Rattus norvegicus: one gene and its partners. The protein of the gene in region 3 interacts with the protein of the main gene of each other region in a biochemical or structural test. Links are inferred from orthologs where the notes say so. Each region holds a gene or a part of one and is shown on either strand. Other genes may lie near its edges.

Region 1 (7,563 bases), on a different chromosome or scaffold from region 3:
TGGAGCAGGCATCATTTGCACAACCACCCCCAGCAAAAAACCCCAACCGAACGGTAAGCTAGAAAATTGGGTGAAGTCAGGCCTGGGCTTTTGTAACCACTCTGGGAAATCAACAAGGACAAAGTCCTTAATTCTTGCCAGGAGGCAAAGTCCCTAATCAGTCTGAGATACTTACCCCCACCCCTCTACCAGTGTTGCTACCTGGGGACACACTTCCAGTATAAGTCTTTGGGGGACACAAACCACAGCTCCTATTCGTGCAAGCTCCTGTCAGATGTGAAGCAAACCTGCAGAGTATACAATGTTATTTGGGTAAACACAAGAGAAGTTTCCAGTTAACTGCTCCCTTTCAGAGCTCATACACTTGACTTCCACCTTTGCCCACGCCTGCTTGCCTTCCTCCGCTAGGGGATACTGGACCCCTTAGTTCTCAGCAAGGATCAGGCCCAAAGAAGGGTCTAGATATGCAGAGACCATGCCTGCCCTGGAGGTGCTCAAGTCTGCATGCACTGCCAAAATGGGCATCCTGCAAGGTGCCAGGCTCTCAGATTTTATTGCTATACCAACTTGAGTTCTTCAAATCTAGGTGAAGCCCTGAGCTCAGTGCAATGCTGTCTGGGCTCAACACTATGTGTGTGTATGTTCAGACCAGAAAGGTTAGATGGAGTCCTCACAATAAAAACAGTACTTTTTTTTTGAGACAGGCTCTTACTCTGTAGCACAGGCTAGCCCTTAATGTAGTGTGCTTGCTTTAGCTTCTCTAGTGCTAGAATTCTGAGTAAGCCAGTACATTCGGTTGGAGCTTTGTTCTCACAGGATCTCTTTACCTCAGGGAGCTGTCTATAGCCAGAAAGAAACCTCAGCAGAACTGGCCAAACCTACACCATCTCAGCCTTCAACCCTTAATCGATTTACTAGCAGTTTGACACCAGCGGCTTGGCTGGTGGCCATGGCCAATTGCTGACTTGCAGGTACTACAAATGTGGTCTTGGCTGGAAGTGTGAGAAAAAGAGAGACCGTAGGAACCATTCTAAGGGAAGGACAGGAGAAAAGTCCGCCCTTCAGCCTTACACTGAAAACCATCCCAAGAGGCAGTATACTAACAGTTGTCATTCTGTTACCACACACAGAATGATTGAAACTGCTCAGGAAGACTAGCTGCTGGCAACCTCTACAGTAGAAAGAGGCCTCATGGGTGCTACAGGGCTGCAAGAGTGTTTGGAAATAATTCAGAGTTGTTTCAGAGATTTCCTTTAAATCTTGGGATTCCTTCATGTGAGTGAATCTCAAGCAGTTTTAGCTGGCTGTCTCTTTAAAAAAGGGAACGGCCCTATTAACTTCAGGGATCACCGTGTCTGGGGCTCAACTGTAGGTTTCATATGCAAGTGATGTTTCAACAGAACGTGGCGCACAATTCTAGATGGCATGCCACAGCGAGAAAAGAACTTGAGGCAAACAGGTCCACAGGGTCGACTGACATTGAAAACGCTAACAATACAACTTTATTTGCAAAACCACACCAGGCCCTTTCCACAGTGCCAGCTGCCCTGGAGGGGCGTTAAGGGCAGACAGGTCAAGCAGGGCAGCACACAAGCGATGCAAAGGCGGTACAGACGGTTGTGGCACAGCATGTTTGAGGTGCGTCTGAGGCCAGCCTAGGTGACAGTGACAGAGACCCCATCTAAAACAGAACTAGAGGCAAGAGGGGCAGGGGGAGGCAAGATTTTTACTTTAAAAAATTTTCCTAACAAAAATCACCTTTCCATCCGGACCGATGAGAGATAATTTTAGTACAATTCCCGTAGTTCTTTAAGGCCTGCCACTATGCCTGACGTCTACTGCACTGCACTTGTGTTTATGCCCGCCGTGGGAACTCTCATTGTCACACTGCAGTGACAGCGATGACAAAGGTTGCTGCTGCTACCCCAGCTGTGTGCCCTGGGGTAAGTCAGCCCCATCTGAGTGAACTTAGGAGTGGGCAGACACAGACACACACTGTCCTCATAAGAGAAACAGAGACTGCTCACATCAGTGTCACTGAGGGGTCCTTAGGTGGATAGAGTAAGGTCTGTAAAAGGCTTACTGGTCCAGCACAGAAGGAACCAGCTTTAATATCCTTCATGTTGTCACTGAATGTGGAGATCTGTTATAGCTGAAGGAGAAGGAAACAGAAAATGAAGCTATTGAGTGTTCAGTGTGGCTGAAGATGGGACTAGAGAAGGCATCGGGTAAAGGCCCTAAGGATAGGCCATTGAATTCAGGGAAGTGGTGAGGACCAAGGACGAAGCTCTAAGTACTGTGACTCCCACCAACCAGCAAACTGATTGACTTTACAGAGAGTAAAGTCAAGGTCTCCTCTAGCGGTCGGGCGAGAGAGGTCTCCAGGCTTTGGTAAAAATCAAGATTTTCTCTGAGTAGAGTACCAGGAAGGTGGGACTTCAAAGGTGGGGCATGTTGCACATGTCTTAGGAAGGCTGAGGCAGAGGGCTACAAGGTCAATCAGTTTGGGATACATAGCAAGACAGGGTTTAAAAACAAAGTAGCAGTATTTCATTGGCGCTAGAGCTGGAGGAAGGTCCAGACGGCGGGGCAAGGGACACAGCTGTATTCCTGGGACAGCGGGGGACATAAGCAAAAGGCTGAGGACACAGGCTGGGTGAGGAAAGCAGGTTCTGGACTAAGGCCTCCGGTGGCCTTCCTTCCCATTGGAATCTCAGGTTACCCTGAGGTGACCTGGACACGAGTACGCTCTCAGTCCCTTCCGCAGTGTCTGGAGCTGGCCACCGGGGCACCGTGGTGGGAGTTTGGTCTAGGAGGCTGAGACAGCTAGACAAGCAGCTCAGGCCAAGAGCGAAGGGAGCCTGCTGGCGGGCATACCCTGCCAGGGATACCTGCCACACCAGGTGACCAGAGACCCAGCTAGTATTGTTGAAGTCTGAGGTCTGGCCCTGCTCCTTGTATCGATGGCTCTACCCCAGGTGGGTCCCTTCCCTTCTTGGCAGTTCAATCAGCTCATAAAGTGTTGTACCCATGGAAATAAATCCGAAAACAAAGATTAGCCTCAGAATTTGGGAAACGGAGGCAGAGGCAGGAGGATCAGGAACTTGAAGTCACCTCAACCATCCAACGAGTTCAAGGTCAGACCAAGCTATGTAAGACTGCCTCAAAAACAAAACATCTCCCCCACCCCACCCCCAAACCAGAGCTCCTGAGACTAAGCCAACGGGTGGGAGCAGGGTCCGGGCTATTACCCAACCCATGGACTTACACCATGTCCTCCAGAAGGGCACTTACCTACACAAAAGCAGAAGAGAGGAAGGTGAAGATGGGTGTGGGGAGCGGGGAGCAAAGACAATGTAAGCAGTTAAAGTCAAAAGGAAAACTGCCATCGAGAATCCCCTGAATATGATTTAGAGACATATTCGAGGCTGGCTGGAGAAGCCCAAGGCAGAACAGAGGTGGCGCTGTGATATGGTGCGGGGGAGGTGGCTGGGCAGAGGCCAAGTGGCTACTGGGAGCTGCAGTGAAAGATTGTTCAGCACACTTGATGCTCTGGGCCCACCTCCAAAGAGAAAAGCGTCTGCCAAGTCTTCTCCCTCAAAGCAGCTACTGACTACACATCATGTCCAACGGACAAACACGCAGCCAGCAGTCAGGACACTCAGAGCCGGCCTGCTGCTCCCGAGGAATCTGGAGACTTGGCCGGGTATGACAACTTGCGCCTCTTTGTTGACAACCAAGGGCCTCTCACAACAGCACTAGCAGTCTGTGCAGACCTGTGACCCTCAACTGCAGTTGAATCCTGTGGAATTCTTATGCGCCAGTCAGGAGATGGCGACCATTTCTGGGAACTCTGGAGTGGAGAGTCTGGATTTAATCTTTTCAAGTGCTCTGTTTGACCGGGAACAGCTGCAGCAGCTTTCACTGGAGATAGTCTGCCACACAAAGTCACCTTCGCATGCCGAGGTGACACCAGACAATACTTCTGATAAAGTCTGTTGAATTCTTTTTTAAGCTCGTCATAGTGACCTCCACAGTCTGGAAAGTCCGGTGCTGAAATGGCTGTACTGGGCCATGCTGCCTTTCTGATTGGTTCAGAATTATGTTCTTGAAGATGGCCAGACCTCTGTTGAGAATGACCTGGACTTTGTGACGGGCTGTCCTCTGGAGAAGGGCCCCTCCTTAGGAGACAGCTATTTGTCTTGACAGACCTTCCCCTCAGGTCTTCAAAAGCTTCACCTGGCCTCTCTGTCTTCTCTCTGCTCAAAGGTGAACTCAGCTTGTGGGTTTCTACACTCTGGCGGCTGCCTGGGCTTTTAGAGCCACCTCTGTACATGTCTGCAGCCCAAGACTGCGTAGGGCCAGTCAGGCGAAGCCGTTTCTCAGGAGATGGGCAACATTCCTGATGGAGTTTCTCAAATTTGATTTTAACCTCTCTATACCAGTTCTCTACCTGACCTGGAGGCACCCTCAGCCTGGGAGCCATTTTAACGGGTGAAATTAACCACTGTAATGCCTTCACCCTGTCTTCTCGCCCAAGGTGGTTTACTGTGCTTAAGCCCAAATACTTCTGAGGCAGCCCCTGGAGCTCCTTCCAAGCTGGACTCAATTTATGGACTTGGAGTTTGCTTCCTTCAAGAGGAACACTTTCCAGTTCTAAGCCTGTCTTGTCTGTCTTGTGGGGATCAACATGCGGCAAGTTCTTGGAGTCCCTTAATACTCTGGCCTCTTTCCTGGGCTCTGAGCAGTGCAGGGGCCCCTTCCTAGAGCTCCTCTGGAAGGGTTTGCTCCTGTGGCAGTATGTCGTGTTCTTGTGCACCCCATGCTTTCGTGAGAGCCTCCTCTTGAGCTTCCAGTTCCTGTTAATGGAGGTCTTGGTGGAGATGATGCACGACGGCTTTGAGCGCAGCAGCCTGCTCATGGAGTGCATCATGCCTTCATACAGATCGCTGATTGTCACATTGCTGATGTCATCAACCTCAGGGCACTGGTTGCTTACACTGTTGCTGCTGGCCCCTAGTAAGGAGAAGCTGTCATTTCTAGTCACAATGGTCATGTCAGCTGGGCAAGGGTATGAGGAAGCCTGGTCTCCGCAGGATGAAGCAGACCCTTCAGGACCACCAAAGCTCTTTGCAGGGATACCATCCTGGCATCCTAGGGGAGAAACAGACAAAGTCAAGGGAAACCGCCACTCGATCCACCCATCCTTACCCACCGAGCAGGGAGCTGGTGAGGGCATCGCAATCACGACAGTTTAAAACAGCACAAATAAAACCCCAGAAGGGTTAAGGAATAAACTCTTCTTGGAAGATTTCATTTCAGCAATCAAAATTGAACTCCTGTTTTTCACTCCAGGTTTGTTAAGGGAGTCTCCTCCTCACACTGTTTCGAGATGGCTGTCGGCTCAAAAGCCAATACAACACGCAGACACACACACACACAGATGTAACCCTCAAAAAATTAATTAGAAAAATTCCACCGATGCAAACATTTTAATAAGAAAAGTCAACAAAAGGGACAGAAGAAAGAGGCGACTCAGTCTTAAGAGCACTGGCTGCTCTTCCAGAGCCTCAGCGTTCGGTTCCCAGCACCCACGTGGGGCAAGACAATGCAACTCCAGCAGGGCCCTCTTCTGGCCTCTGTGGTCTGTGGCACCTGAACAGAAACACATGCATGCAAACACACATACACACGCACCACATATATACAGCAGAAAAAAGAAAAAAAAAAAAAGAGAGAAAAAAAAAAAAAAAGAAAAAAGAAAAAAACCAAACAAAACCCCCAAAAAAACCAAAACCCCAAAAAAACTCCTGACCTTTAGAGGATGGCTGAGAAGGTAGGACCTATGTATGCATGGTGCAGCTATGACTTCTGCATTACATGAGTACTTCATAGATCTCAAAGAGTAAAATCCAACCCACAGAAACAGGAAAAGCCTCAAATGGAGCACTGGAGACAGGCTGACACGGTGATGGCCACTCAAGGAGCTGCTAAACTCAGTGGGTGCCACCCGAGTGGGCCTAATACAAAAATGGCCACAAAGGACATCATGGGTCAGTTGGTAAACTCGTGTCATGCCAATGAGAAGTTTCTGGCACATTTTGAATCTTTTATAATCATGGAGAATCACCCAGTTCTTGGAAAGTACATGTGAAAGCGCATGTATAAATCTATACCGCCTGTGTACATACATGTGTTCTGGGGAGGGTCAGCGAAAGGGCGAGGATAAATGCTGCCTGTGACACACAAGGCAGATAGGCGGCTGCTGCTCACTCCTGTGGTGCAGATTTCAAATGTTCAAACTGATGAGGGCAAAGGTCTATACAGCAACTGGTATAATGACTTCAGAGGGATAGCCTGGGCTACAGTGAGACTATACCAGAGCAGTCTTTGTTCCCAGGACAGCACTTGTCGATGACAGTTCCTCACACTCATGTGGAACACCCACCACAGGTGATACCAAGTCTCCAGGGACGAAAGACACAGTTCACGTCAAACCACTCCCTCATACTCACCAGGGGCTGGTGTGACAGGTGACGTCCAGGAAGGAAAGCAAGTCGTGACCGTGTCTTTTCCATCTCCCTTCTGTGTGTTCTGAAATCAGAACCAGTGATCAAAAGGGTTTCGGATGTTCAGACCTTGTGTTTATGGATCTGGGCTCTCTCTAAAAACACACTGTCCTTAGATAACATTAGTTATTCCCACTTCAAAACAAGTGCGCACCATAATGCTGACTAGTGTTCAAGCCCCAGGGGGAACTGGTGGCCCCAAAACATGTGACCTCTGCCTACAAGGGCACAGAGACCTTTGTGGCAGCTACTCCTGGCCCGGCTATCAGTGGCTCTTGTCTACCATTACACTTGGACTAGTCAGAATATCCAAAGGCCATGGAGATGGTGGGCAGAAGCCAGACAATTGGGCCTAATTCTGACTTTTTCCTTCGATCACAGAACAGCCAGAAGTATACCATCTATTGATCCAGGTGAAGGGGAATGTACCTCAGGGACAGTAGTCAAGGGATGTCCAAACACGGGCTTCAGCTGGTTACCAGCACAGAGAGAATGTTGACTTCATGGGGACCCACAGCCACCATGAGAGGGAAAGTGCTTGTTACCTGACACTACTCTTCAGACATATGGCATTAGGATGTTAGGGTGTCCTTTGTTTCATGAAAGATGCCAACAGAATTTGGGCATCTAGAGGTGACCAACTCCAGCTATTCTAGTTAGCATCAGCGGTCAACTTGACAGGGCCCACAGTCACCTGAAGAGAGTCTCAACTGAACAGCAGTCCTCATCAGGTGGTTGTCCGCATGTCCACGAGGTACTCGGCATATCCGTGAGGGGCTGTATTGATTACTAACTGACCAAGGACGGCCCAGCCCACTGTGGGTGGCATCCCTTGGCAGGTGGCCCTGGGCTGTAGAAGGACCCAGCAGAGAGAAAGCGCTGTGGTGTAGCAGAACGAGCCTGTGCTGGGAGCGAGGCTATTCCTGCAGTCGTCTTCCTGCCTGCCTTTCACTCAGCTCACACCCAGAACAGCAGGCTTGGGATCAAAGAGGTT
Region 2 (7,634 bases), on a different chromosome or scaffold from region 3:
AAAATTCCTCTTCTGACACGATTTGCTGTTCAGAGGACCCTAAGGTATAACTGAGGTATAGTACATTACAGAGTTAAGTAAGAAAAGGAATAAACATCAAATTTATAGTAGTTCACAATGCCAGCTCTAAGTCCATGACTCTGAGCACCAAATAACTAAACACAGCCGTTGTCTCTTCATGGAGACCGGAGGAGGCCAAAGTACATAAGCTCACCCCTCCCTGGGGTGGCTTTGGGCAGACAGCCCCACATTCTCACTTTCTATTAGAAATAGTTCACTATTGGACTAAGCCTCCTCCTCTTCCTCCTCAGGTAGTCAGGTGGCAAAATACCATGACAGCTGGAGACCCAAGGACAAACAGAGCAAACCTAAGAGACCACTGCTTGCTTGACACGGCTTTCCAGAGACAGGAAATGTGTCTATTTCACATCTGTGGGACAGACAGACCCTGAGTACCAGGATCTGAACAACCTCAGGGTTAGACAGGCAGTGGCGGTTACGAGCATTTGCCACTCCTATAGGAGCTGAGTTCATTTGGCTCCCAGCACCCACGTGGCAGGCAGCTCACCCTCCCTAACTCCAGCTCTGGGGTCTGATGGCCTTTGCTGACCTCACACGTGGCACACACATATACACACAGGCAAAACACCCACGAACACAAAGTAAGAAAAGTTTTAAGAAGTAAGAGTCAGACAACCTCAATTTGTGTTTTACACAGCTCTCTAGGGTTACGGGGGATGATCGTTTGAATAAGTATTACAATTTTATTTTTTAAAAAAAGCGGCAGCAGCCTGGCCCATGAACTACCTCATCAATCTCCACACGAGGAGGGACACACTCCTTCCCACTTCTCCTCATACAGTGACTTCATGCCATCTTGTCAGTAAGTGTCCAGGGCTGAGATGCTCAGCAGCACTGGCTGCTCTCCCGGTGGCTCTAGATCAGTTCCCAGCACCCACAGGGCAGCTCACAATGGCCTAATTCTGCCCCCAGAGATCCAATGCTCACTTCTGCTCCACAGGCACTGCACCCATGTAGTGCACAGACATGAGTACAGGCAAACACCCAGACACATAAGATGATAAAGAAATAATAAGTCTTCTTTTGGAAAACCTACGGTTTATATTCCTGGGGAAAAAAGCATAGTAAAAAAACCATAGACAGTGATTAATCCCTCTTTAGAAAAAAAGGAATAAACTGGAAAAAAACTGATTTAAAAAAATTTTAAACTGTAAATAAATGTTATACCGGGCAAACACTTCTATAATAAATTCAGACCCCTCAGCATGGGTTCATACCCTGTCCCATAAGGTAACAAGGATCCTAAATTCAATTCTTTTTTTTTTTCCTTTTTTTTTTTTTTAATAGAGCTGGGGACCGAACCCAGGGCCTAGCAAACGCTCTACCACTGAGCTAAATCCCCAACCCCCCTAAATTCAATTCTTTTTTTTGGGGGGGGGTTCTTTTTTTCGGAGCTGGGGACCGAACCCAGGGCCTTGCGCTTCCTAGGTAAGTGCTCTACCACTGAGCTAAATCCCCAGCCCCCCTAAATTCAATTCTTAAGGAGAAAAATAACTTCAATATTGTGATCTTCTACAAAAAAATATTTTACATTTTTTTCTTTTATACTGATAGTATCATTTTAAATTTTTTTTAGCCTGGCATCCTAGCCCCTCAAAGGTTGAGGCAGGAGGATCATTGAGTTCAAGACTAGCAAGGGACAGAGAGTGAGACCCCCACCTTGACCTTAAAATGAGAAAAAGAAGCTGTGAATCCCACCTCTCTCCTTCCTGACTGAAGGTGCAGTGTGACCAGCTGCCTCCAGCTCTGTGAACACCCTGTCCACCCTGCACCCTCAGGCTCTGTGAACACCCTCTCTACCCTGCACCCTCAGGCTCTGTGAACACCCTGTCCACCCTGCACCCTCAGGCTCTGTGAACACCCTGTCCACCCTGCACCCTCAGGCTATGAACACCCTCTCCATCCTGCACCCTCAGGCTCTGTGAACACACTCTCCACCCTGCACCCTCAGGCTCTGTGAACACCCTCTCCACCCTGCACCCTCAGGTTGTGAACACCCACTCCATCCTGCACCCTCAGGTTGTGAACACCCTCTCCACCCTGCACCCTCAGGCTGTGAACACCCTCTCCACCCTGCACCCTCAGGCTCTGTGAACACCCTCTCCACCCTGCACCCTCAGGCTCTGTGAACACACTCTCCACCCTGCACCCTCAGGTTGTGAACACCCTCTCCACCCTGCACCCTCAGGCTGTGAACACCCTCTCCACCCTGCACCCTCAGGCTGTGAACACCCTCTCCACCCTGCACCCCAAAGGCTGAGCCAAAGAAACCACTCCTTCTTTAAAAATAAAAACAGTGTCAGCAGGTATGGTGCACAGCATTACTTCCAGCACTTGGGAGGTGGAGGCAGGGACAGAGGCGGAGAGGAAGGTGGATCTCTGAGTTGAAGACTAGCCTGGTCTACACAGCAAGTTCAGGCAAGCCAGGACTATATAGTAAGACCCTGTCTCAAAACAAAACAAAACAAAACAAAACAAAACAAAACAGAGAGGGATTTGCTCCAATCCCCCTGGATTAAAATTCTGTCTTCCATTTTATCATTATTTACTGTTAAGAGAAGATCTTGCTGGGTAACCAGGGTTGGCCTCACCCCTGCTCAGCCTCCGGAGGGTGAGCACTCATGGCTGAGATGCCCTCTCCTTTACAGACATGTGCACCCTCAGTTCGCTGTCGCTGACCCTAATGAGCAGCTCACAGGTTAAGGGATCACCTGTCCGGGACCCAGCCTGCTAATCAAACATGGACTACCAGACACACACGTATGCTGTTGTAACATGGAGCACTGCTTGCTTAGTGATTCTTTCATGTGAACTGGTTTGTAGATTATAAAATTTTTACTTAAACTTGCTGGTTTCAAAAGGTGACAAATATAATTAAAAATTACAGTTCCTTATTACAGTAAATAACTGAACTCATATTCTAGTCTTCTAAAATATCAAAGGAACTCCTTCAGTAACAGATTCCTCATGCCATTCTTTTTGGGAGTTAGAGTGGTTCTATGACGGTCTCATGGATCTCCAGGCCAACTCTCTGTGTAGCTTCAAGTCCCAATCCTCCTGCCTCCACCTCCCAAGGGCTGAGATCCCAGTGTGCACCACCACACTCAGTTTATACAGTGCTGGGCTCTGAACCCAGGGTTTTATATATGCTAGGCAAACATTCTACCCACTGAGCTATATCCCCAGCCCCTCTTCAGGAACTTTGAAGGCAATGGTTCTTAACCTCCCTTTGGAGGTCAAACAATCCTTTCACATAAACATCCTGCATAACAGATATTTACGTTACAATTCACAGCAGTAGAAAAATTATAGTCATGAAGTAACAACGAAAATCATTTTATGGTTGGAGGTCATCACAACATTAGGAACTGTATTAAAGGGTCAAAGCACTAGAAAGGTTGAGAACCACTGTTCTAGGAAGTTCATAATGGGGACAGGAAAGTATGGACAGTACATACTGGTCCACACAATTGCTTAAAAACACCTTGCCAGGCAAACTTACACATGCAATCCCAGACCTGCAAAGCAGAAGTATTTGCTTCAAGGAGATCTTAACTTTGAAGTCAGCTAAGAGTCTGTACTGAAACGGTGGTACATGCCTTTAGTGTCAACACTCAAGAGACAGAGGCAGGCAGATCTCTGAGTGTGAGGCCAGCCTGGTCTACAGAGTAGCCAGGGCTACAAAGAAAAATCTTATCTCACAAAACAAAAACCAAAAAAGTAAAATAAATTATAAATAAACAAAAACTTCAATTGATTTTTACTTAAAAAAAAGGGGTGGGGGGGGGTCACACATGTTCTCCTATAATCTGTCTGTCTTTTCCGATACCAAATAAATTAGACCCAAAGTTGGGTCAAGGGTGACCACTGGCTTTTCGGCCAGAACCCTACAGTGCTGACACAGTACAGTGCTGTTGTTCTTTTTTTTTTTTTTTTTTTTTTTTTGGTTCTTTTTTTTGGAGCTGGGGACCGAACTCAGGGCCTTGCGCTTCCTAGGCAAGCGCTCTACCACTGAGCTAAATCCCCAACCCCAGTGCTGTTGTTCTTACACAGCTCTGCATACCTAGTTCTATGAGAGAGAACCAGTCAAGAGGCAGCACTTATCTATTACACCTACCTTTCAACGGCTTCAACGCTGAGGCAGAACAAGTTCCTCTTGTAATCCAGGTTCTTGGGAGTGCATCTGTACACATAGCCAAGGCTGAGGGAGCAGCCTGAACAGTACAACGTCTCAAGGATGCTGCAACAGAGAAACGCCACCACTCAGGGGAGAGCAGCAGTCCCTAAGATAAGAGTCCTCCCTGCTAAAATCCATGAGCTGGGGCTAGCAAGATGGCTCAGGTAAAGGTGCTTGCTGACAATGACAACCTGACAACCTGATTCGATCTCAGGACCCATATAGTGAAACTCTGACCTCCATAGACAGACAGACAGACACACATTCACACACACACACACACACACACACACACACACACACACACACACACACACACACACATACAGAGTGACTTAAAGAAGTAAAAATGAACTTAAACTAAGTAAGGTCCATAAACCCCTAGGTAGTTGAGGTAGACAGGGGCTACTGCGACCACTGCTGCTGCTGTTGTTGTTCTGTTGTTCTTGGGACAGGGTCTCCTCTGTAGCCCAGCCCTCCTACACCATCCTCCCATGGCAAGTGCTGGGGTGACAAGACTGCATCGCCACACACAGCTTCACTCTGACATATTAAGTCACATAGATGAGGAAGAAAAGAACAAAGGCAGAAAGACTGCAGAACTGCAAGCACAGCTCTAGGCCACACCACCATGGACAACAAATGATAAGAAATGTAAACAAATGCCAAGGCAGGGTTTCCCAGGACACAGAGTCCTTGATCTGGGATTAAGACAAACTATTTAAAATCTGGAAAAGCAACAGAAAGATTCCAAATATCCTGTTCTTATAGTTGGGCTGCCTTGTCTGGCCTCAGTGGGAGAGGATGCACCTAGCCCTGCAAAGACTTGATGTGCCATGGTGGCAGGAATATATAGGGGAGACCCCACCCACTCAGAGAAGGGGAGGGGAGAATGGGGAAAGGATTGTGGGAGGGGATGACTAGGAGGGTGGCAGTGAGCAGGATGTAAAATAGGTAGATGATTGATTGACAGATAGATAGATAGATAGATAGATAGATAGATAGATAGATAGAAAAATAAAGATGCATATAAAAGTCCAAATCCAAACAAGATTCCATATATCTTTTACAAAGCCCAACCCATCATTAATATTCTAGGTAGGAAAACAGGCAATTTTTCTCTATAATGACAGAGAACAAACATTTCAGGTGTCTGGTGTAAGCATTAGCCCTGTACTGTATCAACAGAACCAGTCTGACTCACAGACCAGGCATGGCGGTATACACCTTTTATCCCAGCATTTGGGAGACAGGAGGATCTCTAAGCATGAGGCTGGCCTGGTTCATCCAGCAAGCCCCACTATAGGCAGGGCTACACATGGAAACCCTGTCTTCAAAATCAAGAGACAAATAAACAAAAATATGCCCTGTCACTCACCAGTCCGCAGCTCTGCTGCTGTAGTGGGCAGGCAGGTGTGCAGACTTTAAGAAATGTTCTGCACAGTGGGGCGATGATGCCACATGCGAGATCAGCTGTGACAAGTTCCTGGCTGACTCCTGATCCTTCTGCCTCCGACCTTCCGAGTGCTGGGATTATAGGTGTGTGTCATCACAACCAGGGAGGTAACTCAGTTGCTGACTGCATCTGCTGTCTTGGTTAGACCTGCCTTGTTTCCTTACACCGTACTTTGACATAAACACTTTACCATCAACTAGAGATAGGTCAACACAGGCGACTCACAGCATTTTACTTCAGTTTCCATTATTTCTCTGCACAACTGTCCCAGTCTTCTCAGCTCCTGTTCCACAGACTTGGCTCTCCCTCTGTGCCCACTCACATCTTTAAAATGTCCTTACAATCAGTCCAATGTCTCCCAAAAGCCTTTGCAAATAGTGTATTTAAATTACCATTCTGTAAGAAAATTACAGTCCCAACATTTACCAAATTATTATTGGATTTTTAGTCTACTCTTAATTAAAGTACTGAAATGTACACCACAATGGATTAATATTTCCAAGTACTTTAATTCCTCCTTAATAGGGGACCTGCTATCACTAAGTACTGTTCTTGCCACTGAAGAGCCAGACAAAGCAGTGTATACATGCTGGGGTCAGGAAATGGGTCAGTGCCTAAGAGCAGAACCACTCTTGCAGAGCACCGAGTGGGGTTCTCAGAATCTACATAGTGGCTCATACTGCCGTAACTCCAACTTCAAGGGATCTGTCTGTCCTAGCGTTTCTATTGTATCCATAATCAAAGCAACTTAGGGAGGAAAAGGGTTATCAGGCTTACACTTCCACATCATAGTCTATCACTGAATGAAGTCAGGACAGGAACTCAAACAAGACAGGAGCCTGGAGGCAGGAACCGATGCAGAGGCCATGGAGGGTGCTGCTTACTGGCTTGTTCCCTATCTCTTGCTCAGCCTGCTTTCTTACAGAATCTACCATGGGCTGGCCCCTCCCCCATGGATCGCTAATTAGGAAAATGCCCTACATTCTTGCCTACAACATCTTATGGAGGCTTTTCTTAACTGAGATTCCCTCCTCCTCCTTAGCTAGAGTTAAGCTAACATAAACTAGCCAGTACATGTTCTTCATCACAGTCCACACTAACCCAGAGCCTAGAATACCCTTGGGGAACAGTCGGGAGTAGATGGCCACTATCATTGGGCCTAATTCAGCCCATCACTGAACAAGACTGAGAAGCAATACCAGGCACTATAAAGCAACTTTAAACAAGAACTGGCTCAATCCTAAGAGCCTAGGTAAAGGATAGAAATGAGAAAAACAGACAGTACTGCTAGCTCTACAGCCCGGCTCTGATGCCCGTCCCATGGCTTGATTGACCACAGCAATGACTCAGCCAGATGTTCAGTAGAAAGGACCTTGAAAAATGCATAAGCATCCCAAAACAATACAGTATTTCATAGGGCCCTAGTGAAACCCAAGGCAATTTAAGGCAATACAAATGATGGGTATAGGTAATGCAGGTAAAGAGCTCAAATCTAGATGGCTGACTTCTCAAAAAGCAGTTCCCTTCTCAACTTGAAGCTGACTTAATTCCCATTAACATAGATGAGTACATAAACAGTGGACCTGACACACATGGAGAAGGTGACGTTGAAAGACTCAAGCTGGGAAATCGAAAGAAAGAATGCCTCAGAGGCAGGAAGGCAAATGCCAACAGCCCTGTAAGAGGTCCTGAATCAGCGCTCTAGCCAGAGGAGCTCTCCTGGGGATTACTGTCCTTGGTCACAAAATGAAACATCATCTGAAGCTGAGATTTCTGGGCTGGAGAGATGGCTCAATGGTTAGGAGCACTGGCTGCTCTTGTAGAGAACCAGGTTCAATTCCCAGTACCCACACTGCAGCTCACAACTGTCTGTAACTCCCAAGGTTCCATTGCCCTCTTCTGACCTTCGTGGGCACCAGA
Region 3 (7,626 bases):
CTGTTACTTATTACATATATATTTGTTGTTTTGTTCCAGACAGGGTTTCTCTATGTAGGCCTAGCTGTCCTAGAACTCACTCTGTAGATCAGGCTGGCCTTGAATTGAAAGATCGCCTACTTCTGCCTCCAGAGTGTTGGGGTTAAAAGCATGCACCGCCACCATCCAATGTACATATCTATTTTACATAAACAAAAATGATGTCTTGGTGACATTCTTCTTTAATTCTAGCAGAGGAAGCAGAGGAATGTAGATCTGTATAACTTTAAGGCTACCCTGGTCTACATAGAAAGTTCCAGGACAGCCAAAGCTATAGAGAGAGACCTTGTTTCAAAACAAATAAACAAGTATTTATAAGTATTCATATAACTGGCACGTAGAAGTACCATCTCTATTAACTCCATTTCTTTATCCAGGCCATCTGTTCATTCTGTTCGTCAGTGGACACAAGGGACACTGCATGCTAATTAGTTATTAGTAGTGAAATACATTTTCAGAAATAAGCATTATGGAATCAACATAGTAAAATAAATTTAAAGTAATAGAGTCACGTGCTGCAGGATCTTTGATCATTCTATGAACCCCAAGATTGTGTTGTTTCCTGAAAAACAAAACAAAACAGTTTCTAGTTGTGGTATGGCCCAGCTCGCGCGCACGCACACCTTTGTTCCCAATGGCTGGAATAAAGCATACATACACACCCTTAATACACACCTTTAATCCCAAACCAAGGTAAAGTTAGAAGTATAGAAGGAAGCACCCATGTTTGAAAATAATATCTGGGGGGCTGGAGAGATGGCTCAGTGGTTAAGAGCACTGACTGCTCTTCCAGAGGTCCTGAGTTCAATTCCCAGCAACCACATGGTAGCTCACAACCATCTGTAATGGAATCTGATGCCCTCTTCTGGTGTGTCTGAAGACAGCTACAGTGTACTCATATACAAAATAAATAAATCTTTAAAAAAAAAAAGAAAATGATATCTGATTGAGTGGCCGACAAGGTGACGAATTGGAGAAAGACTTGACAGAATAGAATATACCCTACTCTAATGAGGAGAGAAAAAGGAAGCTACTTAAGGGGCAGTGCAGAGAGAAAAGAAGATGTAGTTTTACAGACAGGTTGAAGAAAGAACAAGCTAAACACAGTTAAAGACAGAGGGAGCCAGAAGATTAGAACATATTGCCATAACATAAGTTAGTATGAGGTCAAGCAGAGCAACTCAGAAGCTGAGAAGCCAGACTGAATCAGTCAGCATGGTGAGCCAGAAGAGCTGAGCTGACCAGCTGGAGCTCAGAAAGAACTAGAAAGGGTGAGCTTATTCAGCAGCAAGTCTCAGAGGCTGAGAACATTCTAGATCTAGGTAAGACTGTATACAGGCTGGAAGCTTCCCGAACTAGGCCTAGGTTAGCAGATGGACGCAGTAAGCCTTGGAGAAGACAGCTACATCAGGCAAATAAAAGTTATTACGGGGGCTGGAGAGATGGCTCAGTGGTTAAGAGCACTGACTGCTCTTCCAGAGGTTCTGAGTTCAAATCCCAGCAACCACATGGTGGCTCACAACCATCTGTAATGAGCTCTGATGCCCTCTTCTGGTGTGTCTGAAGACAGCTACAGTATACTTCTATATAATTACACAATAAATAAATAAATATTTAAAAAAGTTATTACGGTCACAGCTTATTATGAAAAGGAAAAACACTGACTCCCCAAAGCAGGAGTGGGCTGATGAGCTGGGGAAATAGGCTTGAAGGCATATTCTCAAACAATGTGATGAGTACAGATAGTGGGACATGTTCTTAGGAACTTTAGGGAGGCCTCACATCCATAACACAGCTAAGGATTGCCTTACTCTTGTGATCTTCCTTCCTGTATTTCAAGTGTTGGGATCACAGGCATCACCAGATCTGACAGCCCTCTGTTCTTAATATTTAATATTATTTAAAAAGTTAAAGACCAAGAGGGTATGGTGGCACATGCCTTTAATCCCAGTACTCTGGTGGGGCAGGAAGATCCTTGTGAGATCTAGGACAGCTAGAAATACATAGTGAGACCCTGTCTCAAAACCAAAATGCCCCCCATCCCGCCACCAAAGAAAAAAAAGAAAAGACCAATGGGAACTAGAGAGATGGATCATGGATAAGTGTTAAGAGAGCTTCCAGCTTTTGTAGAGGTTAGTTCCCAGCACTTAACAACTGCCTGTAATTCCAGCTCTACCGAATCTCATGCTCTCTTCTGGCCTCCATGAGCAACAGCCCACATGTTCCAACCATACACACACACACACACACACACACACACACACACACACACACACAGAGAGAGAGAGAGAGAGAGAGAGAGAGAGAGAGAGAGAGAGAGAGAGAGAAGGGGGGGCAGGGAGAGAGAGAGAAGAGACCTTAAGGAAAGAAGAAGGAAGAAATGACCAGAGCACTTCGGGTGTTGAAGGAAGTTCTGTACGCTACCTTGCTTGTTGCTTGTTCTATTTTCCTGGTCAGACTGAGGAGGAGTCTTTTCCTTCAGAACCCTCAGCAGTGAGTTTAAACGAGAATGCATCAGCATTATCTTCTCTTTCAGCTGAGGAGAGACACAGATTGAGGACATCTTATACTCAACCCTTGATTTGCTGCTTATAATGTTACCAGACTTAAAATAAAACAAATCTAAAAACAAAACAAAACCAAACACACTTAAAAATTGCCTGTATTAAGGGAATGGATATAGCTTAGTTCTAGGAGAGCCTGTTCTACATAGTTAATTGAGACAAGTGACAAATACATAGTAAAAATCCTGTCTCCAAAAGGGAAACCCAAAATGAAAATGCTGTGTACGTAAGTAACTATACAACCAGGTTTACCTCTGCAATCTTTTCTGGTAAAGGTACATTGTAAATATCCATCTCAGATGTATTTACTATGGCCTTTGTTTTTAACAGATAGCTAGAGAGAAAATATATAGAGAAAATATTAGTACCATTACCAATGGACCAAACTTGCCCTCTAAAATATCTGTTGAGTAAAACCTTCCTTATGGTTTGAAGCAGCATGGTGTATTTTACTGGAAAAAAAAATATCAATTAAAACCACAAACTCTGCTTGAACCTTTGCCATTCTCAGTAACAAAACTGTCTCAGGAAAAACTAAAGACAATCCAGAATCAGATGGATAACCATCATTGGTAAAAGTTTACAACTTTTACCCTGCAGTACGGTGCAGCCTTGACGCCATCACTTTGAAGGAATGGCAGGTGGGCCTCTGGGAATTGAAAGCTGGCCAGGACTAGATGGGGAGTTCCAGGTCAGCCAGGGATATTAGAGACCCTGTCTCAAAACAAAATAAAACACAAAATGAGAAGGAAAAAAAAATAAGAGGATGCTTTTTAATGCTTATTTTTCTTTTTAAATATAATTCTAAATAACAATAACTTAGGGGGAAAAAAAGAAGCCAGGCATTATGATTTATGTCTTTAATTCATCAGGGTTCTCTAGAGAAAAAGAATTTACAGAATCAATAATGTCTCTTTATATATACATTGTAATTTTATACCAGTCAGGCCAAAGAGCCAGACCTACTCAAAGCAAACAAGCAAAAAAACAACAAACAAACAAACAAACAAACAAAGACATGAAAAGGAAGTAGAAATTTACAGTATGTTTGTTATTTAAGTATAATGCCAGGACACTGTTGGAAGTTGCGTGAATAACAGGAAAGCCAAGTGGCCACTAATGGTCTCAGAGTTAAAGGAGACTTTCTTATAAATGTTGTTTTGGCTTACATAAATCACTACAAACATCTAAGTACATTAAAATATGTTAGTATTACATTATTGTTTGTTTGTTTTTCAAAACAGCATTTCCCTTTGTAGTCTTGGCAATCTGGAACTCACTCTGTGGACTGGGCTAGCTTTGAACTCAGAGAGCCACTTGCCCCTGCCTCCTGAGTGCTGAAATTAATGGCATGTGCCACCATGTCTGGCTAAGTAATCTTAACTTCTGAGCCATTTCTCCATTCTTTCAGTTTCTTGTAATAAAATATCTTAGATTAAATGTTTAATTAGTAAGGAAGATTATCTGTGAACACAGAAACTGTGTACTAGAAAAACCTGTTTCTGGTTGTGGTGTGGCTCAGCCTTAGCACACACCTTTAATCCGAGAGCTGTTTATTGTAAGCAAAGTCTGAGTAAAGTAACTGCAGATCAAGACGTGCAGCAAGCAACCATTGACAGGAAGCGAACATAGGAAAAACCCATAGAGTCAGAGCAGGGGTCAGCAGGACAGATAGAGAGAACAGGAGTGGTGGCTCACACTGTTAATCCTAGCACTCCAGACACAGTTTGAGACAGTGAGTTTGAGGCCAGCCTGGTCTAAAAGCAAGCCCAAGCAGCCAGGGCTATTACACAAAGAAACCCTATCTTGAAAAACAAAAAACCCAATAAAACAAGAAAAAAAATTGAGAGAAAGCAACCTAAGCACTGGCATTTGTCTTTCTGCTTCCTGCTGCTGATACAGCATGACCAGCATCTCCTCCATGGACTTCCCACTGTGATGGACTGTGCCTTCAAACTGAGCCACAAGAAGCCCTCCTTTCCTGAGCTTGCTTTTGTCAGGTATTTTGTCTTGTCATGAAACAAGTAACCAACACAGGCCTTATTTCAAACTCCTGGGGTAGAAAATCTGATTGGCTTCCTTGGGATGGAGATATATAAAATCTCCAAGTTGTCTATATTGACACTATTTTGCAAAAGCATACCTTCCAGAATTTTCCTTAATGAAAGAACATTCTTAAATTAATCCATATTAAGACACAGTACAATAAACCATCTAAAATAATATTTATTTAAAAATTATATTTTATCCCTATGCAAGTATATATTATAATAAATAGTGCCTGACCTTTTGTATCTTCTTTGGTTATAAACACCTGGACTTTCCTAGCATCTTTTAAAAACCTTATTTAATAAGTAATGTCTCTACTCACCACAGCATTTTATCACAAGAAAGGCAGAAATGGCCTCTCAAGGCAGCCAGAGCAGCACGGGTAGAATATAAATGGAAACCAACAGGAGTCCCACAGGAGTTACAGAATAAAAGGTTGTATGTGCTGGTGGGAAAGGAAAGAAGCAGAATATAAAATAATGAAAAGCTAAAAGAGAAATAAAAATAACTACCCTCATCAGGTATAGTGTTGGTATCTGTTACTCTAACACCCAGAAGCATAGGCAGGAGGAACTCAAGTTCATCGACCTGATGGACTTCATCAAGTTCACTGGCTCCCAAGGACAGCCTGGGCCATATAAGACTCTTGTTTGAAAGAAACAAAAACAAAGAACATAATTTTTGACCAAAAACAAACTAAAAACTTTTAAAACAAAACAATACAATCCTCAAAACTAATTTTGGTACTGTCTCTGACCACTTGTGTAATTCATGGCTCCCTACCTAATAAAGAAATTTACTACTGTCCTTAAGATGTTTTGGGTTTTTTACTCCCTTATAGTCAGTTAGCATCATATAGCTTGCTAGGCCACTGGATCATGAACACCAAAGGACTTAAGGCAGTTACTTCCAATATATATTGAAAATACAATTGTTTCTCCATTTCCTTATATAGAATAAGGTCGATTAGGTTTTAATTTGTATTCATTATAAAAGTCTGTCAGTCTGGAAGACAACAGGACATAATATCAGGCAGTGGAGTGGAATAAAGATTTTTCTTCACTGTCACTCATTCCTTAAGTGCTGGGATTAAAGGCACCACCATGCCTGGCCAAAACTTTAAGTACCAATAGACTGTAATCCAAAAAAACTTTTTGAAATAATTTATAATAAGTGTTGTGTCACATACAATACAATCTAACAATCAACTACTGAGTTCAAAGATAGTAAAGAATGTATCTCAAGACCTCAAGTTTACTAGTGAAAACGACCATTTACCTCAGTTAGGATACACACAAGCAGAACCACACAGTGGGGAAGTCAGGGCTGCACTAACAGCAGGGAAAGGTACCTACAACCAAGCTTGACAGTGTGATCCTGGGTCTGGACTCCTCAAAGGTGTCCTCTCACCCTCATTAGTGTACCTTGGCATGTGACTACACAATACACACACTAAATAAATAAAGGTAATAAAACTATTTTTAGATTATAATGTGGAACAGAAATCTCATTCTCTTCTTTTAACTTGTATGCATTTTTGAAGTATTTATTATAGATCAACTCTAGCACCTAATACAAGATAAGCAAACATAGTACTTCTAAGCTATAGCACATCTCCAAATGTATGATTAAGTTTTTGTTTGTTTTTCTCAGACAGGGTTCCTTTGTGAACCCTTGGCTGTCCTGGAACTAGCTCTGTAGACCAGGCTGCCCTTGAACTCACAGAGACCCTCTGCCTCCCTAGGGCTGTGTTAAAAGTCGTGTCCTACCACCACCAGGCTTATAATTACAGTTTTTAATCAGGCTTTTTAAAAAGATTTTGGGTGTAGGTTCTGATGCTTGTGATCCAACACTTGTTGGCAGAAGCAGAACTGTAAGGTCAAGGTAAGACCATTACTACCAATATCAAAAGTAAAAGAATTTGTGATGTAACTAGATCAAAAGTGTCACTTCAGGGCCAGTGAAATGACTCAGTGGGGAAAGGCACTTGCTACCAACCCTGAGACACGGAGCTTAATCCTTCCATCCAGCATGGTGAAGGCAAGACTGCTTCCGGTTACCTCCGGGCCTACATATGCATGCTCCCATCGCATACGCAAACATATTCACACAAAAAAAGTTTTCAATGTAGGAGGATCACAAGCTTTAGGCCAGCTTAGGTGACATAGTGAGTTCCTGGCTAGTGAGGTTATTGAGTGAGAGAGCCTATCTCAACCCCTACCCCTAAATGCTTCTGAAATACTGTATGAATTCAAAGTATTCTCAATTCAACAATGTCCACATCCTAATGGTCCATTACAGCTGGTAGTGGTTACAGTACTGGACACATGTGACCATCTACATCAATTCTGAGTACTTCTGCCTCTTGCTCCAAACAACTTCAATAGAAACAGGCCACTCCTTCCTGGTCCCCTTTGAGAGAAGGAATTCCTATAAGGATAGGAATGTGTCTTTAGTTTGGCAAAGTTGAATGGAGGTATGGCTACAACTTAGCTTGGCCTCACTCTAAGCCCGAGTTCACTGAGTACTTTATTGCTATAGGAAAAACATTAACAAACAAAGATGCAGAGTTTTCTATAGATTACTACAGAATTAGTCTTGTCGTGATTTATATTATGTTTATATATTTACATTATAAGCTCCAAGTTAAATAGTCCTAGTTATCTCACAGACCTTAAGACCTACCCCCAACTTTAACTTTCATTAAAGCCAGGTTAATATGACTGAAACGGGTAAAGAGTTTATCTTTCAAACATACTGTATGGAGAGAGTAAACATGCCACAACACAAAGTTTCTTTCTTGTTTACAACAGTTACGTACTCTTGACCATCATTAAATCCGGAACAATACAGATCCACCTCAGGAATTCTCCACACGTACCTGGATTTGAGAGAACCTTCTATGCCAACCAAAAGGGGCTCTAACAAAACGACGTTGTTTGTGACTCCTGGAAGACAAACCGGTTTTGAAAAA
Region 4 (7,634 bases), on a different chromosome or scaffold from region 3:
CTCTGAGAATACAATAACAAAATTTACCATTTTGGACCTTGAAGTTGGCTTGCTTTTTCTTAGAGACATATTTTCGAGATCCTCTGCCTTGGGGTTCTTCTGTGTATTTCTTCTGGCATTCATCAGCAGTTCGAGAACCTACTGCCATAGCCACATCTGACCAAAAGCCAGGTTTGTGCTTTGGAAGGGATGCAAAAGCACTACAGCAGACCAAAACCAGGGAAGAACAAGAAATTCAAATCAATGAAAATAATCTGAGAACATACTGAATCAGTGAACAAGAAATTCAAATCAATGAAAATAATCTGAGAACATACTGGATCAGTGATATTTACTAAGCTGGAGGATTTTTTTTTAAGACAAAATCATTCTAGGTAACTGTTCAGAAAAGATACCAATCTCTCTATTCCATAATTTTATTATTACAATATAATAAACTATGAAGATATAACAGTATATGTCTAGTAAAATGCCTTTAAACTATTTCTATTAGATATGAAAAATCTTCTAATCTTTCAACATTTTTTTCCTAAGTCCAACTAGTCAATGATTTCATCTCTGAGGGAATTCTGGCATATACTAATTTCTATGTATTGTCTATCAAGTCTTACTAGTACTAAATCTACAAGAAGATAAACTCCTAATTCTTTCATAGTTTTACGATTAGGTTTGAATAGGCATGATCAATGCATGACAAGTGTATTAAACAGAAATAGCATAGGAAAATCCTTAAATATATACAAATGTTTTAAGACTACTTATAAAAATGAAGCTGGGCATGGTGACATATACCTGTGATACCCGTACTAGAAAAAGTTGAGGAAAGAAATTAAAAAGTTAAAATTTAAGGATAGTAATACTGGGTCTAAAAAACTAATAAAGTATAAATACAAGGTGGTTCCAATTCAACCTATAAATGAAACTCTAAAAGTTCTGTTGCAAATCACTGTTTTAAAGCCTACCATACTATTTCCACCTCCCTGTACTCCCATGAAGACTTGTTATGTTGTGGTTAAGGTGACAATTAAGCCAGATAACTAATTCAGCAATTACCCTAAAATGGCACAGGGTAAATACTCCTTATCTCATATACTTAAGATACAAGTGTTTCAGGATCCAGTCAGAACATGAAATTAATTCATGTTTCATATATCTCTTCATACATACAGACCAAAAGTAATTACGGAGGTTTGTTTCTTTGATAGCTTGGAAGCATGATACTATTATTAAGTCATACCAACCTCTAGAAGATGGTTTCATATAGTCTTTTTAGTGATCCATTGTCACAGGAGGTGAAGTATGGATTTTCCACTGGTGTTATTTGTTAGGACAAAGAGTTTTAGATTTTGGAGCTTCTGAGTTTTCAGATTAGGGATAATTAAATAATATGACAATGTTACATCAACTGTATCAGGTTCCCTAATTCTGTATAAAACTATTGGCAAATCTATGACTGCCTAAAAGAACTATTTTTCATTAAAAATTCTTTTTTTAAAAGACTTATTTATTTACTATATATATGTACACTGTAGCTGTCTTCAGACACACCAGAAGAGGGCATCAGATCTCAATTACAGATGGTTGTGAGCCACCATGTGGGTGCTGGGAATTGAACTCAGGACCTCTGGAAGAGCAGTCAGTGCTCTTAACCACTGAGCCATCTCTCCAGCCCTCATTAAAAATTCTTAATGCATTTAATAAAAGTCAGTAATTATCACTATCTTCCAAGTTATTCCAGGTAAATAATGAGGTAAATTTAACATATAATCACAGCCATTAAAATCTTTGCTCTAACTTACGGTGATATTCTGACTGGCATTAGTCCCCTTACTCATGTGCTCTCTCCTCAACCTTCAGGATTCGGTTCATTCCAGCCTCCCAATATGCCCTCTCCCTTTCTAGATGAATACTTACATTGAATCTTTGGCTCACTTTTGATCTTTCACCTTTCCCATATCATCTAGAGTAGGTCACAATGTGCTTACAGTCTCATAAATACATATAAACTTGTTACAGTGATTACTATATGTGCTAAACACCTGCTTTCTAGGGTATCAACACAATAAAAAATACAAAGCTATTGAAGATTTCAATTCACTAAGTAAGACTGCATTAATGTAGTTTGTAGAATGTAGTAATTTGCATTTTCAGATGCTCATTAACTGATTATTATATCACTGGCAAGAACTAGAATAGGTTTTTATTCACAGAAAACCAGAAATCACATCTAATGGAATCAGAACAGGTGATAAGAAATAGCTGCAGTGAAGTGATAGGTAAAAATGGTCTTCATCTGGGTTTTAGGTATGTCTAACCCTAAGATGCGCTGTGATAATCCTTGTGGGATCATAACTGGACTAGATTACCAAGGAAGAAGAAAAGGAAGAACTGGGAATTAGAATGGACAAACTTCTGTTTGTCTTGAAGGCCCATTTCCTGATTGCTTTTAGCCTTAAGTCTAGCTTAGGTGAGGCTATAAAAGGGAGAAAGAAAAAGGATATTCACCCTAGGTTTGGTGATATGTAACATTCCAGAAGTTTTCAACTGAAGAAGGAAGGAGGTAGGGAGGAGAAAGAAGGAAGGAAGGGGCTTTGTATGCTGGTATAGGTGATCCAAGCACTTGGGAAACTCAGATCAATAGTTTGAGAAGAGTAGGCCAGCTTTGTCTTGTTCTAGGATACCCAAGTCTACACAAAGAAACCCTGTCTCAAGAAAGCAAGTAAGTAAGTAAGTAAACAAACAAACAAACAAACAAACAAACAAACAAATTTTTGGAAAAAAAAATATAATGTTAAAAAGTTGTATTATAAGGAAATGCTGAGAGATACAGCTAGAAAAGGTAAAATTGCTAGCACAGCCCGCTTTTGACCTAAAGCAGAAGAATATAAAATATGAAGTGATATTAAATGGAATGAAAATTTCTGATAGTTCAGATTCTCAGTTACATATTCTTTCTCTCTCCAGACAGAGTTTCTCTGTGTAACAGACCTGGCTGTCCTGGGTCTCACTTTGTAAAGCAGGCTGGCCTCACACTCAGAGATCCACCTGCCTCTGCTTCCCGACTGCCAGGAGTGAAGGTATGCACTGCTACTGCCTGGGTCTCAGTGATATCTCAAGCCCGACCTGAACATATCTGAGCTAGATTACCCAGATGGAAAGTACAAATGACAAGCACAAAGATGGTTCTACAATTCAGGCATTAAATAGGTGAGGTCTGAGAGAGAGGAATAGCAAGAAAATAGGCTGCACATAGATGGACCTATGGAATGGCTATTTAGCAATTAATAAGATTTTTTTTTAACCAATAATGGCAGAGTTTAAATATATTTGATGGAAAGGACTTTATCTTCAGAAATAAAATATTACCACCTAGATCTCCCCACTCATCTGTAGCAGAGGTACGACTGGAATGGAGGATAGCTCCAAAGCGGTTGCCTGTATGTGGATGTGCTCTACTAGCTGTGCTGCCTTGTCTGGCCTCGGTGGGAAAGAAAGCACCTTATGCATAGGGGGTGAGGGTAGGGGAGACCCATGGTATCCTCACTGGCTCAGAGGAAAAGGGGAGGCGGGGAAGGATTGTGGGAGGTGGTGACCTGGAGGGGAGGGTAGTGAGAGGGATGTACAGTGAATAAGTAAAAAAGAAAAAGGAAAGAAAAGAAAAATTAATTTAAAAAATTACCAAGGGCATCAAAAATAATTATCAATAAAAATATTCTTTCAATTTTTAATGGTCAGATCTTTAAGCAACATTTATATCGTTATATTCACCACAAAATGTAAATACAAATCTAAATATAGCAATTCAGGGCCACAGATAAATCTGAGGACCACTGTACAAAGAAGAAAGTCAGAAATGTGGAGGATAAAAGATCACTAAGGAACACACCTGCACTGGCTGGTTTTCTGTGTCAACTTGACACAAGCTGGAGTTATCAGAGAAAGGAGCCTCAGTTGAGGAAATGCCTCCATGAGACCCAGCTGTAAGGCATTTTCTCAACTAGTGATCAATCGGGGAGGACCCAGCCCATTGTGGGTGGTGCTGTCTTGACTTCCTTTGGTGATGAACAGCAATGTGGAAGTGTAAGCTGAATAAACCCTTTCTCCCCAACTTGCTTCTTGGTCATGATGTATTGTGCAGGAATAGAAACTCTGACTAAGACAATACCATAGCAAGAAAACAGACAAAAAAAAAAAAAAAAAAGAATTTCAGGAAGTAAAAAAGAATTATTTGCCTGAGAAATAATCAAAAAGGGATCATGTAGGGAATTGAAAATATCAGTGAAGGTTGTACAGTATCATAGAAATGTCTCAGAGAGAACATTCAAAAGGACTCAAAATGTATTCCAAAGCACTTTTAAGGACATATAGTAAATAGAATGCTAAATGTCACACGTTCTTCTCTCAGCCTCTTCTTTATCAGTTACGTCTTCCTTTCTTTTGACTATATCACTTCCATCAGCTACCACTCTACCCTAGCATCAACCCTCTGGCAAAACAACCAAATTATTTTCACTGTTTCCATACTCCTTGTATTACACATGGATTTTTAGTCCTCATTTTTGCCAATTTTCTTGACTTGTCTACATATGTTGTCATAGCTCTTTACTTTTCCTATTTAGGCTTCATAAGTCAATTATGATCTGGTTTTCATACTAACACACTATGGAAACTTTTATTAAGTATCTATAGTCAAATTCAATTCTTTTTTTAATAAAATCTTTTTATGTGAATGAGTGTTTTGCCTGCACCTATATCTGTGCAGAGGTGTGAAAGGCAGAAAATCCACTGGAATTGGACTTAGAAGTTGTAAATCACTATGTGAGTGCTGAGAATCAATCTCCAGTCCTGTGGAAGAGCTTCCAGTGAATGAGTGCTCCTAACTGCTGAGCCATCTCTCCAGCCAAACTCAACTTCAGTTCTTAAAGAATGTGATTTATCACGAGTTACAAGCACAATAATTATTCACATCTTCTGAAAAGCTCGCTAACATCACTAGTATATCTTTAAGTCAGCCCTTTCTGCTATGTTGTAACTATTCTGCACACATCCCAGAGACAAAACTACTTACCGATGAAGTTTCTGTAACTCTTGTTCATTCCATTCTCCATCATCAGTTGAACCAGGTTGATGGTCTAACAGTTGCCCGTTAGTTGTATCAGATGCCTTAACTTCAATTAGAAAGTCCTTGGTAATATCAGATTTGTAATGTGATTCTTTAGCAGAAGATCTAGGTTTCTTTGGTGTGACATAAGAACCACTCTCACCTGAAGATTCTGAAATCAGGATATCTTTTGTGATGTAGTTTGTGTTTTTTCTCTGCTGATCCAGCCTTTGTTTTTTATTTCTTGCTCTGGTTTTACCTTTAACTTCTATTTCATTCTCTTTACTTGACAAATGTGATGAGGACTGACTATACAGTGATACATCTATTTGATTTTCAGTTTTCTGCAGTTTCGAGGGCAACTTGTTCTTTTTCTTAAAGTCATTGGTGAACATTTGTTTACTTTTGGGACAAGGTATTGGAATGCTATGTGTGACAGTGATTATGTCACATTTGCTGCAGTCCTCTTTGGAACTGCCTTTATAATCCACACTGTGTTCAAAGGTCTCTGAGGACTTGCTGGTAGACATTCCATGTACGTCTGACTCACTTTCTTCTTGATGGTTTGCTTTGAGAAAACCCCTTACTCCTTCAATAGAGAGACTGTGTTCCATACATCTTTGCTCTATCAACTTTGTGGTTCTAAGTGGTGTCATTAAAACATAAGCTTCCTTCTGACCAAGAGGCGGGTGTCTTTCTTTGTTGGAGGTAGGCTGTTCCAGTGACTTCAATGGATCAATGGGTACATTTAAAACTTCAGTTCTCTCTTTATTTCATTGGAAATCAGAAAAATCTCATAAGTACAGGAGAAAATGCTCTACGAAATAAGACTTTTTTTTTCCTGACAGGTTACACAAAGCACTGGTCTATTAAGATCACTGTCACTTCAAATGTAAGCATGTACTTATGTATACAATTCTGCCAATGACTTGACTTTCCAGTTGGCTGGCATGCATGCAACTTTTCTACCTGGCCTTCAATATAGTTTCAGTCTTTTACTGACCACAAATTAGAACTATACTCTATGGATATTAGACCTTGTATTTCTCAAGGTCTGAATTTTCATTGTTTCCTCTCCCTTAAAATGTTCCTTAATCTGTAAGACCCTCAATTGCTTGCTCTGAATTTATTCTTTAGCTCACTGTATCTCTAAACTCCCCCTTTCTCTCATTAAATTCCCACAATTCTTTTTGAAATGCCATTTTGGTGTCCTACATTTTAGTTGTACTACACCAGGTTTATCTTTTGGTTAGACTGAGAAAATCATTAATGTCAGACCTTAATTTTTATAAACATTTTTTCTGATGTTAGTGCAGACACTCAAGAATTAGTAGATACTAAACAAATGTTTTAAAAATCAATTCTCAAAACGTAAAATAGCTAAAGAGATAAGGAATCCACTAAGCAGCCATGTAAGATACAAAACAAGTTTTGTTAGTTAAGGATGTAATTAGGAAAATGTGAAACTCTATCTGTACACTCTACTTGCATCCTCAATATGGCCAAAGCAGCACATCTTTGCAAATCTCTCCCAATTTCCAAGAATGGTGGGAATTAACTAAAGCTACAGAACTTGGTATCTATTCTATCATGCATAGGTGAAAAAAGCAAATGAGATCAGCAGTCCAATCCAAAAATGGAGAAACCAGAAGCAAAGCGACCCGAAATTCTAACTGTATGAACTCCTATTTATGTTTACTGTAGTGGTTTGAACCAGAATGGGCACCATAGGCTCACACGTTTGAACCCTTGGTTCCCAGTTAATGGAACTGTTTGGGAAGCATTAGAAGATTGATGGTACTGTAGGAAGTATGTCACTAAGGAGCAGGCTTTGAGGTTTCAAAAACCCATGCCGTTAAAGATATAATGGTAGATATACCAGTTAGCTCTCTGTCTCATGCTTTCTGGTCATACGTGAACTATCAGCTATTGCTCCAGCACCATCCCTACCTACTGTCATGTTAGCCACAAGTTATAAGAAAGCCAGAAGGTACAAGCTTCTTTCTAAGTTGCCTTTAATCATGGTGTTGTACACATATCATGCCATAAGAGATAAACCAAAAATTGAAAGGTTAACAGTTAATAATGATGGAAAATTTCAAAATTATACTCTACCGATAATTAATTTGATTAGTACAACTATCCTAATGAAAAGAAACCAAAAATAAGTCTCCATGATATTTTTCATGGAAGTCATAAATTTACAAATTATTTTCTTGTAATTCCTTACATAAATCAAATCAAGCATTTAGTTAAACATTTTTTTAAAAAATTTGAACATTCTCACTTTGAACAAAATATTTCTAGTGACAATGTTTCTTGTCATTCACTTTATTTAATAATCTTTAATAGTCATCCAGCTTCCTTTAGGTACTTCAACTTGTTTGAATATGGTAGCACAGAAGTACTGTATTTCTTCCACTTTTATGAATTCTGATGATTGTTCTTATTTTTACCTTTCAGTTTTAGTAAAAAATACCACTAGGTCCAGGGATTTATCATAACACGAAATTTTAAACTTGTTAGTATATTG

Evidence for each region.
Region 1: the proteins of Oip5 (region 3) and Hjurp form a complex in vitro, tested with the Homo sapiens proteins (2 studies listed by BioGRID). The link is inferred for Rattus norvegicus from reciprocal best matches to the Homo sapiens genes OIP5 and HJURP.
Region 2: the proteins of Oip5 (region 3) and Mis18a form a complex in vitro, tested with the Homo sapiens proteins (3 studies listed by BioGRID). The link is inferred for Rattus norvegicus from reciprocal best matches to the Homo sapiens genes OIP5 and MIS18A.
Region 4: the proteins of Oip5 (region 3) and Mis18bp1 form a complex in vitro, tested with the Homo sapiens proteins (2 studies listed by BioGRID). The link is inferred for Rattus norvegicus from reciprocal best matches to the Homo sapiens genes OIP5 and MIS18BP1.

The regions. Positions count from the first base shown.
Region 1 is NC_086027.1:96,299,709-96,307,271, forward strand, and holds the end of Hjurp (Holliday junction recognition protein), read right to left. Parts: exon of another isoform or gene 6,595-7,563; coding exon 6,516-6,594; exon of another isoform or gene 5,155-6,515; coding exon 3,662-5,154; 3' UTR 2,822-3,661; downstream 1-2,821. Other genes in the region: Mroh2a (maestro heat-like repeat-containing protein family member 2A), read left to right, coding at 833-926. UniProt on the Homo sapiens protein: Centromeric protein that plays a central role in the incorporation and maintenance of histone H3-like variant CENPA at centromeres.
Region 2 is NC_086029.1:43,455,372-43,463,005, forward strand, and holds part of Mis18a (protein Mis18-alpha), read right to left. Parts: intron 4,322-7,634; coding exon 4,199-4,321; intron 51-4,198; coding exon 1-50. UniProt on the Homo sapiens protein: Required for recruitment of CENPA to centromeres and normal chromosome segregation during mitosis.
Region 3 is NC_086021.1:127,048,905-127,056,530, forward strand, and holds part of Oip5 (protein Mis18-beta), read right to left. Parts: intron 7,601-7,626; coding exon 7,534-7,600; intron 5,098-7,533; coding exon 4,975-5,097; intron 2,938-4,974; coding exon 2,856-2,937; intron 2,576-2,855; coding exon 2,464-2,575; exon of another isoform or gene 2,463-2,463; intron 602-2,462; coding exon 570-601; 3' UTR 1-569. UniProt on the Homo sapiens protein: Required for recruitment of CENPA to centromeres and normal chromosome segregation during mitosis.
Region 4 is NC_086024.1:88,927,652-88,935,285, forward strand, and holds part of Mis18bp1 (mis18-binding protein 1), read right to left. Parts: intron 5,868-7,634; coding exon 5,069-5,867; intron 201-5,068; coding exon 28-200; intron 1-27. UniProt on the Homo sapiens protein: Required for recruitment of CENPA to centromeres and normal chromosome segregation during mitosis.